2 separate regions of the Mus musculus genome follow, and region 1 is reported to be linked to region 2. Evidence: microRNA targets listed by miRTarBase, many of them from high-throughput screens and not tested one by one. Region 2 holds a microRNA gene; the other region holds the end of a gene's coding sequence.
What was found. Region 2 holds the annotated microRNA mmu-miR-425-5p (AAUGACACGAUCACUCCCGUUGA, at 2,749-2,771, opposite strand). A microRNA usually pairs through its seed, bases 2 to 8, with sites in the 3' UTR of a target mRNA and lowers its output. Matches are read on the target gene's strand: a 7mer-m8 pairs with bases 2 to 8, a 7mer-A1 pairs with bases 2 to 7 and ends in A, and an 8mer does both.

Region 1 (5,372 bases), not on the chromosome of region 2:
GGTTCAGCACCTCAGTGTTTGCTGGTGGTGTTGATGGAATCTCAATAGTCTCCACAAACTATATATAGCTATAACTTACTTCACTAGGACATTTTCCTGGGAAAACCCAGGCGTCTTAAAAAATATTGTTGAATACTCAAATCTTTCACAAATTATTATTTCAGAAAAAAAACCAAGGAATGTAGTGTGGTATGACAACGGAAAAAATATGCAAAACAGTCACATGGAAAAAAAGATTTTTAATTTTTAAATATATAAGTTTGCTTAATTTCTGATGAGCTGTTCAACACTGTTTTAAATATCCTGAATTAGTAACTATGCCAACAAATTTACCTCCAGTGTTTCCACAGGAGACATTAAAATAAGACCAAATTATAGTTTTCTTCAACCAAAGCAGTCTTTTCTCAGTCCTTTTTGTGCAAAAATATTACAAGAGCAACTCAAATGGGAACGCTGAAATGACATGCCAACATTTCAGGGCACATTTAAAACACTCAATAATTCTTGAAGTTACTGTATCCTAAAATATTACTACCAACCGTTTATAGATTAGTTCTGTATATCTACTCAGACAGATGCATATTCCTAGACCTCTGAAAATAAACAGGCTCATTGGTCTCTTTTGGTGTCCACACAATAGGCAAGATAGGTTTACAATAGTGTTTAAATCAAACTACACATCTACAATCTCCTGACTCCACCACATTCAAAACAAAAGTCAGAGTTTATTTGGCTACCTTGAAATCATTCCCATAAACCTGCTACGGTTCACTGGACCTGAACATTTCTCAGAAATGTGTCGTTTATCATTTCACCTAAGTGATGATTAGGGATCCTTTAAAAACGGTTAATGCCTAAGATACAAACTTTATCTAAATGAATAATTGCAATAAAGTGCTTATTACCTTTCAAAATGATGCTCTTAAACTGTGGTATGTTGTTCTAAGTGTGTGCTATTCCTCCCATAAGGATCCCCAGGCATGAGAGTCTGATCTCACCTGTCTCAGAAAGCAGCAGCACTATCTTTTGGTAGGTAGGCTGACAGTAGGCACATTACCCATGCGGATGAGGCTGGACTAGGGCTACGGCAGAAGGGGAGGGAATTAGAAAAGTGGGAGGCATGTGGAGGGTTCCTACTACACTCATAGTTATATACAAATATATTAAATATGCTATAAAAATAGTCAACTCTTTTCCTTTGCATTTACTTGAGAAGCTCCTCTTAGAAGAGTGTTCACTCAATCCAGACAAACTTAGAAGGTCTCTTTATGCAATCACTATGAAAATGGCAAGTGCCGTTGTGCTGTTTCTTCACCACTGAGAAGTTCCAGTCAGCTCACACCTGGCTATGCACCCTCAGCAATATTAATATCCAGTGTTTACACTTTCCATTGTGGACTCTGGTACTAAGAACAGGACCACAAGTACTGGAAAGATGATAGGCTTGAACAACTTTTACACAAATGTCTACCAACAAACCTTTAATCACCAAAGAAACAAAAAAAGAAATACTAAAAATCCTATCTGTGTTCCACTTTAAAAAACTGCCTCAACATAGTGGAAACATTTTAAACACAGTAATATCCAAGTGAAAAGAATCTACCTGTGTAGACTAAGGGTCCTTTCTAAGGCTTGAACAAGGCTCATCTCCCTCAACGTGATGCCCATATATGGTTGGACTGCTTCAGTGCTCCCAACTTCCAAGAGACTGCTTTAAGGCAATGACCAACTACTATACAGCACACAGAATTCAAACACTTGCTAGTTAGCCTAGAGTTTGCTATCACAACTATTCAAAAGCACGGGCATTCTTTTATTAGTGCTACATCCCTAAGCCATGTCTATGTGACAGCAGAACACAGCACTCTAAATGCTACCCTGAGGATAGAGCTTGGGGAATGGTCTTGGTGCTCATGTGCAAGCAAGCCCACCTACCACAGTTGCTTTCCTCTCACAGTCTCGTCTCTAAGGAAGGAAAGAGGACTTGATATTTTCAATATTGAGGCTCTGGTTTAACGCCAGCCTCAAGGGCAGCTTTGTGTTTACTGTTCTAATCCTGTGTGTTCAGCAACCCCAAGTCACCCCATACAGAAGCAGTCCAGAGCAAGGTACCTGCAGGGCAATGAGAACCTGTTTGACCTTCATCCTAACAATTTCTTAATTAAAAGGCGCTGCCCAGAATCAAAAATTTCAAAGAAAATCAAATCCATGAAATACAGCAAGAGAAGTTAAGGTTTCTAAGAAGCTGAGAAGTGTTTCTTTTTGGTATCTTTTCATGATTTAGATTTGGGGTTTCAGTCAGCTTTGGCTACAGAAATGAACAGGCAAAAGATGAACTTTCTTCAGAATACTGGAGTCGTGTGGGGAGCAGACAAAGACAGTTTGCCATCCAAAGGAACCAAGAATTAAGGAGCTAAGAGGCAGCTAGTGCTGACAACTGTTGCCCAGCATGCATCTCCGTGTGGACAGCAGCCTTAGCAGCTAGAGTTTCTTATCAACTGCTACTTTTAAGCAGGGAGATGAACTGTGAAGAACAGCAGGCATTACATAACTAGCATGTTGTATCTCCTGTAGCTAAATTCTTATCGCTATGTGATGCAAAAAGATAAACGAGGCACAGCTCCGACTCCGAGGACATGGAATGGCCAAAGAGAAGAAGGCAATGTGGAAGGGAGAAAAGCAATGTGGGTGCTCGACTTACATTGATTTCGTCACGTGTGCACAAACTTGCATAAATGTGTATTCTCACAACTATTTCTGGTATTCGTATGAATGTCAGCTAGAAGAACTCTGTGATATGTGAGTTACTGACTGGTATCTAGACACACTTCTTATGCAGAAGAGTAGGTACCAATTTTCTTTGGTTGTTTTCTTTTTATCACTAACTTGCTAACTTAATTGCAGTCAGGTAAACAGGAAAACAAAGACACACTTACTGATGATGAGAGCAAAGCTAGAGACAGATAGCTGACTCCGAGTTCCCCAAGCCCTGATCTAGCAACTCTGCCTTAGGTTATCTGCACTGCTGAAACCAGTTTAGCACCTCACCATCACATACTTTCCTTTTAAGGTCAATTCTAATGTGCCACACTTATCCTCCCTTTTCTCAGTAATACTTGATATTCTATATCCTACTGATCTTTTGTTCTTTAATTGAAAAACTCATTATTAGTACCATAAAATCTAAAAAAATGCCTTTTAAAATGTATGTAGCTTTGTTGGAGTTTATTACCTGTAGAGAATGATATTGCCAAATGAAATCTTAATGTTTAAAAAGCATGTGAGTTACATTATTCTAGTGCTGCAATGAAAATTAAAGACAACTTGTCCCTTGTCTCTGAGCAAGTATTTACTGGTAATTCCTAAAAGAGTTACTTAGCTTTAGAGGAAGATGCAAACAGGAAACGATTTTGGGATCCCATTCCCAGCTGTGACGCTGTCAGGCAGCCCAAGAGACGCAGCAGTCCTCATGGGGACTTGAGAATGACACTGCTGCTAAAAATGTACTAAGGTTTCAAAACTGCTACTGAAACCAGACAATGAATTCAAGATGGTGAGTTATCACCTGAATTAAAATCAAGGCACTATGGGTTTTTTCCCCTCAAATAACCCTGAATCATTTCTGACTAAAAGAAGCATTGAAATTTTTAAAGATAATAAAAAGATTCCAACAAATCCTAAAAGTTAAAATTCCCACCTCTGAGAATGTTAAAAAAGTGCCTAAAATGTTTTGTGTGCAAACTTTACTCTTACAACTGAAACATTCTTGAAATTACTTTCAGGCTTGTTGAAAACCATTTACATAAATATTCCAACTATGAAATATATCAAAATATGTGATTAAACTCTCAACCAACCATCTAAAATAATAAAGCAGTGCAATTCTCTCAAACATAATTGAAAAATAATGAAATAAGGGATATTTCTGAGTAAGTGGAAATGTAGCAATAATTTAACCTTAAAAAAAATCCATTCCCAGCAGCACATTGTTACCTCACTGAACAAACTGTGACATCACAGCCAAAGCACGGACAAAAAGACTTGTGCCCTGGAAAAGTAACGAGAACACTACTGTGTTGTAAACAAAATGAAAAAAGAGAGGTTGTTATCAGTTTGTACATGGTGTCAAACCTAATGAAATGCACTCATACCTGTGAGGGACAGATAATGCTTTCTGTATCAAAGTGGCTTTCTCTCCTCCATCCAGACACAGAGACACTACAGCATCTGTACACAGTGAATTCAAACCTGCACAACATTCTCAAAGTCATCACGGTTCCATCATTGTCTGAACAGGGAGAGGAGTTTGGGGTGGGGACTATTAACTACTGGACTATCTTCATGGCATTCTAAGCAAACCCCTGGCAGTGGTGTGCCCTCTGTAATATTTGATGCAGGCACAGACCCACTAAAGCTACCAACACTGTTAGTGCTCTTCGGATTCAGTAAAGATCTGGTTGATAGCTGAGCTTGTTAGCATTTGGCAATATACTCTTTCTATCAAAAAATACCTGGGCAAAGAAACTGTCAGAATTGGCTGTGTCCCTATGACCATTTCCCACTGGCTGGTATTTAATGGACATCTGAAGCACTGGGCAGCACTTCCCTACCGTCTCATCAAGGGACTGAACACTCAAGACCACCCTCGTGAAACTGTTCAACTTCTGACCGCATGCCAACTGAGCGATTCTTTCTGGCCATCCCCTTCCTCTCGCATGTCAGAGAGGAAGTGTGTGTGCTACTGTGGCTGGACCTTGGAAGGGTCAGTCAGGCTGTCAGTCCTGTGCCGAGGAAGCTGCTGTTGCTGCTGAGGCTGGTGTTGCTGGTGGTGCGAAGGAGGGAAAGTGCTCTGTTGTAGTGGAAAGGCAGCAGAGAGGATGAGCTGTGTCGAAGGATTCCCGTGGAGCAACCTAGATGTCTAAAAACAAAAAGGATGATGCAGTCTGGCTTCCTGCCTTCACACTCGTCAGTTCACACTGCCCACAGCCCACAGACACAGGGCTTTAAACTCTCATTCTGTTTGCTAATCTAAAAACTATTTTTGGAAAACAAAAACCTTGCCTTCTTTCTGAACACGTAAGATTTGACTTTTTTGAGGAATTCTTGATGGGAATTTCATGGTACAAAGTATAATCTGTCTTGAGACAAGCCACATATTTTTATTTCCTACAGGCCCAAATTCTAAGCAGTAAACTAGAGCACAGCTGTGTCTGGATAGGACACGAACACTGCCTGGTCAGACTGACAGTGCACACAAGTCTGCCTGTTGGTAAAGAATCAATTGTACTCCCAGTGTGAGAGATAGAGACAGGATTTCCGAGGCTCACCAGCCAACCAACCTAACCTAGTGAATAAACCACGGTCTCATGAGA
Region 2 (5,372 bases):
CGCTGTTGGTGGCTGTGGATGGCATCCCTTTCATACTCACCTGTAGTACTGAGGGGCAGTCAGCTGGGTGCCGGGTACACCAGCCATTTTCACGGGACCACACACCAGGTGTTTCTGTGAAAGACTGGAAGGGCTCAGCCCAGTTGGCACTACCCTCCCCGCTTCAGGGAACTATATCAGTTGCTTTTCTACCTTGGTTTTCCCAATCTGTAACCACCAGCCTTCCTTCGTACCTCCTCAAGACACCATCATCCTTTTTCTTAAGACTACATAGTCACAGGACATTTGCACTTGTAGCACGGGTGCCTATGGTCACATCAGTCTCTAAACCCCATGGTATTCCAGGCCTGAGGTCGGAGGTGGTTTGGTTAACTTTGGTAACCAACCTGCTTGTGAGGAGCCCGGTCATCCAATTTCTGCCAGAGCAAATCCAGCTTTTGTTGCTGGAATGCCTCTTCACAGCTAACCACGTGTATAACCACGCAGTCATCTACACCAGCATCTGGACGCCCAGCCTGAGGAGAGATGGGGCAGTTACTACAAAGATACAAAAATCCAGTTTGGGCAGAGGTCAAGGCAGCCACTCACCGGGCCTGGGTGGCCGCCCTCTGGCCAGTGGCGCACAGCCTCCTGCAGCTCCGAGAGCACAGAGAGCACATCTTCAGTCACTACAGAAAACAAGAGGTGTTGAAGTGCCTGGCAGTGCAGAGACACAACCCCACCCATGTTCTGCCGTTTGTCCTACCCAAACAGTGGTCTATGCTGGGGTCATAGCCAGCAGTGCCTCTCTGTTCTACCAGTTCCTTCAGACACAGTCGGCCTAGGACGCCAGGGGGCAGCGTCGCTTCCTTAGAACCATTAAGGTTTGCAAGAACACAGGTTCTCAGTGTTTCGGTCGAGGTGCTCTTCGAGGCAGTGGGCCATTCCACCCGAAGTTTCTGGAGGAAAGTTGACATGTGAGGGTCCCGCACCGGGGGCACTGAGCACACACGTACCCTGCAAAGCAAGGGAGGCTGTCTCAGCCTGCGGACCAGGCTTAGATTATCATGACTCCCACCTTTTCTATCCCCAAATGTTCGGTCTTTTGCCATTATAGCTTCGAACACGCACTTACCCATGAGCACGCAGTACCCGTACTAGATGATCGGCTACGAGCACGGCACGCAGCTGGCTCAATCGGAGCGTCCCCGAATTACAGCGCAGTGCTGGGCAGTGTAGGACAACTCGCGGGCCTGGTGAGGCAGGTTTGGCGGGAGTAGCATAGGAGGCCAGGGCACCGAGTACATGTTCGAAGACAGCGGGCCGCTGTAGTTGGAGCGATAAACCCGCGGGTGTCGGCGCGCAGCGCAGTACAGGGGCCACTCCGGGACCCTGCAGGCAGGAGACCGCACGGAACACGCACTCTGGCACCTGCAGGCAGATGTGTGTAAGTGGGCCGTAGTTCCGTGGATCCCGCTAGGCATGCCCCACAGGAGCGCACCCACCTGGCCGTCCCTGAAGCGCGCCTGTAGCGCGCTTCGCGGTGCCAAGAAGTCTCGAACACGAAGGTGCCGGGCATGGGTTTCCTTAAACCACACTGGGCTACCAGGCCCTACAGCTGCATTAAGGGCCTCCAGCGTCTCGCCAACCCCAAGGCGCCCGGTCGCCATGGCGACCGGAAGACTAAATGGAACAGGAAGTAAGTTATCCGTAGAGCTTCCGGGAGGTCCGCCTGGCGGGGGCGGGGATCCGGCCGTGGACTCTCCTGAATGGACCAGAGCGATCGAGCATGCCAAGTGAGCTTACATTCTACCCACGCCTCCAGCTCTCCCTCCCGATGGCCTTTCCTGTATTCATGAGCCCTAACCTCCAAATTTGAGGGTCCATTTTTCCTCCTTTTTAAAAAAATCGTCACCCCGAATTATTACTTTGATAACGGATCTTTGTTACCAGGCAAGACACTTTGCCACCAAAGTTTCACATCTTTGTGTTTATGTCTCTTTTTTCTTTTTCTGCCCCATTTAAACAAATTAAAGGCCAGACGCACGAGACGAAATGTCAAAGGAATAAGGCTGTACCATTAATGACACTTTGTTTTTCAAGACAGGGTTTCACTGTGTAGCCATGGCTGTCCTGGAACTCTTTGTAGACCAGAAAGTCCTTGAACTCAGAAATCCACCTGCCTCTGCCTCCTGAGTACTGGGATTAAAGGTGTGTGCCACCACTCGTGTCTTCCATTAAAGACTCTTTACCGCCTACTTGGAAAAGTAACGAAACAAAGCAAAATTTGAGTTCTGATTATTGGTACGCCTTTCCTCGGCTGCGGTATGGAATGTCTTTATTCCCAGTAAAAGCCCAATCGGATAGAATTGCCCATCTTGATACCCGAGGAATTAGTCATCATGATTCCAGGATTACCAGCCTTTAATGTTTTTCCTTTAAACTGGTGTTACCGGCACCTTTGGTTCTTTAGGCAACTGGTCAGTTTAAGACAAATGTGATGATGAGAAGACCCAAATAAGCAGAGCTCTCAGGTAGAGCAAGCTGCAGGTGAGCTTTTCTATGTCCAAACTCTTTCGTTTCCAAGTAACGTGAAACTCCACTTCCCCCAGTAATGAATGAATCCAACCGGTGAACTTTGCTCCGGAGAGGAGTGACATCTAGAGATAGGAAAAGTTCGGGAAGGCCGGGGCTATGAGGCCCTGTTTGGGAGGTGCCGAAAGAGCACTGGGCGGACACGACATTCCCGATGGCTTCTTGGGTGCCCACTCAACGGGAGTGATCGTGTCATTCCAAAGCACTTTCCATGCTGTGGTGTGGGTTCAGCTGCTAGCAGGGCTGGGACCCACCAGCAAGTTGGTGATTTTAGCTACTCTCCCTCCATGAAGACGGTTGGGGTGGGTTTTCCCCAGGAAGTGAAGATCTATCTTTAGCGAGCTGCGGGCTGGGCGGCCTTGTGGGACTCACCGCCATTGCGGCCCTTCAGAGAGAGGACCCAGGACCTCCCTGGTCAGAGTTCTCCAGGGATTCCAGACAGGGCCATCAGCCCGAGCTTTTTTCGTCGCCTCTGACTGCCACCATCAGTCTGGGGGTGCACCTGAGAGATGGAGATCAGAATGGCCCAGTAGTGTAGTGTTTCTGAGAATAGAGACCACATTATCTGGGCCAGGGCGCTGCTCAGGCAGGAGAGCAGGGAACGAAATCCAAGTGCAGCTGGAATGCTCTGGAGACAACAGCTGCTTTTGGGATTCCGTTGCCCGCTGTCCAGCCATTGGAGGAGGGCTCTTGCTCCCAGGTCACTCGCCCTGAGGCCAAACCGGAACCCGCCCATCCCTTCCCAGTGGGCTGAGTAGGAAGGAGTAGGTGTTTTAAACCAGTCTAGTGAGAATGAGACGCTCACCTGGGCCCCAGAACAATAGAAGGTGGGGGCATCCCCCGGGACGAGGTCCTGATCCGGATTAGATCAGAAGGGCTGGATTAGCCCTGTGAGTCCCAAGCAGGAGCCACTTGTACCGGGCAGGCTTCGGAATCCGTCAAGAGGGAAGCGATTCCGTGAGACCCGAGAGGAAGTAAACCCATGTGTCCACTTCTGGGACTCCCCAAAGCTTAGGACCTTTTGTCTGGTGACGGTGCCAGCTCATGAAGTGCCAGGGGCCAAACTGGCCCACATAGCAGCGGCAGGACAGCCTCCCCCCAAGCCCATTGCAACCGGCCCTGCAAAGAACCCCACAGCCAAGCCCCATTTGTGTCAAGCATCCCACCCGTCTAGTCCAGCGGATAGAGAACGCGACAAAGTTCCTCTGAGGCCAGGACAGAACCGGTGCGCAGAGATGCCCATGCCGCGGGACGCCAAGGACTCATGCGCCAGTAGGCCCTAGACTCAGCTCAAGACAGGGGGAGGGAGACTCTCGGTACGCGCGCGCAGAGCGCGCAAGGGCGGGGTGGTGCTCCAGGCGCGGTCTACTTCACGTCTGGTCCGGTTTGGCCCAGTCAGTCCCACTCGAACAGCTACTCCAGCACTGCCACGGCGTGCCCTTCCGCTGGCTCTAGCTGTCCCCAGACTTGGAGCCATTTTAAGGAGAAACCATCTGGCCACACCCCCTCGCGCTGCCGGGAAGCCAATCCATGCTCGGCCACGCCTCTCATGGAGCGCTGCGCCGTCGCCAACGGTCGCGCTGGTGACGGTTGGGGAAAGCAGCGATTTCGAGACTAGCTAGGGAAATTTTAGCCATCTGCCCCGCCCCCGGAGCCCGATTCTCCAAAGCCTGGGATTAAGGGCCTGGAGGCTGGCACCACACCCTGGCCAGGTGTTCATAACAGGACCAGGTGCGCAGCTGCCCCGCCCTGGTCCCTGGGAGCCCGAATAATGGCTGAGAATCCCAGGAACAGGCCGCGGCAGTGGCCTAAACAATACCCTTAGGGCGCCCGTACTAGCAGGTGTTTTTCCCCCTCCTCCTTAGGGACTGTCGCTGGAGGCATGGGGCGGGGTGGGCGACAGGTGCTGACACACCCGCATGGGGAGACAGAGGCTCTGCATTGGCCTACTGCGCCGTTCAAGGTGCGCGGTGCCCTCCGGGACGCAAGGGGCGCTGTGGCTACTTTGAGACAGACAACTCTGTCCCTACGACCGGGTCGTTAAGCGCCGTTGCAGCCATGGCTACTGCTCTAGGATTTCGCTGCCTTTTCCGAACGCGACCTGCGCCGCTCTGTCGGCACGTCGACCGGCTGTGGTGAGCATCCCCTGTCCAGCCTCTGACCACTTGGCCTCGGACCTTTCAATCCCGCATAGTCCGGCCGGGCCACGACTTCCTGACTTTAGCCCTCCGCAGGAGGAACCCGCGTCGGGGACACCGGCTTTCTCCGGCGGACGATGAGTTATACCAGCGGACTCGCATCTCACTGCTGCAAAGCGAGTTCCCTCAGGCCGTGTACATCGACAGCTACAGTAGCAGAGGCTTCACTATCTGCGGAAATCGCGTGTTTGGCCCTTGCGTGCTGCTCCCACAGACGGTGGTCCAGTGGAACGTGAGCCTTCTCCCCTACATTGAAATTTAAATAGCGCCAGAAGCCACTCCCTCCTAGCAAATTTAGCTTTATTTTGTTGCCTATTAGTGTCGCTGTGAGTAAAGGCTGTATAGATTTGATGTGTTGAATGGCCTCTGCTACCATACAGGTGGGATCTCATCAGGATATCACTGAAGAGAGCTTCTCCCTTTTCTGGATGCTGGAACCTAGGATAGGTATGGGGCAGTGGGTAGCACTGGGTCCTAAGTGACCACCTCTCTATCAGACCCTCATCGTTTGGTTGTCTCCACCCTTAGAGATTGTTGTGGTGGGCACTGGAAACAAGACTGAGCGGCTGCACCCTCAAGTACTACAGGCCATGAGGCAGC

Region 1: miRTarBase lists Clock as a target of mmu-miR-425-5p. Seed matches in the 3' UTR shown: 7mer-m8 at 3,484-3,490 and 7mer-A1 at 191-197.

Annotation. Positions count from the first base shown.
Region 1 is chr5:76,211,961-76,217,332 of GRCm38, forward strand. Clock (circadian locomotor output cycles kaput) reads right to left here. Exons shown (of 23, transcript NM_001289826.1): 23 at 1-4,918. The coding sequence ends at 4,739. Among named protein-coding and RNA genes, the nearest start is that of Tmem165, 31 kb to the left of the region's middle.
Region 2 is chr9:108,566,188-108,571,559 of GRCm38, reverse strand. It overlaps Mir425 (microRNA 425), which reads right to left and starts at 2,783; the gene lies at 2,699-2,783. It overlaps Ndufaf3 (NADH:ubiquinone oxidoreductase complex assembly factor 3), which reads left to right and starts at 4,124. Exons shown (of 5, transcript NM_023247.2): 1 at 4,124-4,709; 2 at 4,809-5,004; 3 at 5,153-5,219; 4 at 5,301-5,372. The coding sequence starts at 4,633. Dalrd3 (DALR anticodon binding domain containing 3) reads right to left here and starts at 1,668. Exons shown (of 12, transcript NM_026378.3): 1 at 1,485-1,668; 2 at 1,115-1,410; 3 at 746-996; 4 at 589-668; 5 at 387-515; 6 at 41-114. The coding sequence starts at 1,649. Mir191 (microRNA 191) reads right to left here and starts at 3,241; the gene lies at 3,168-3,241.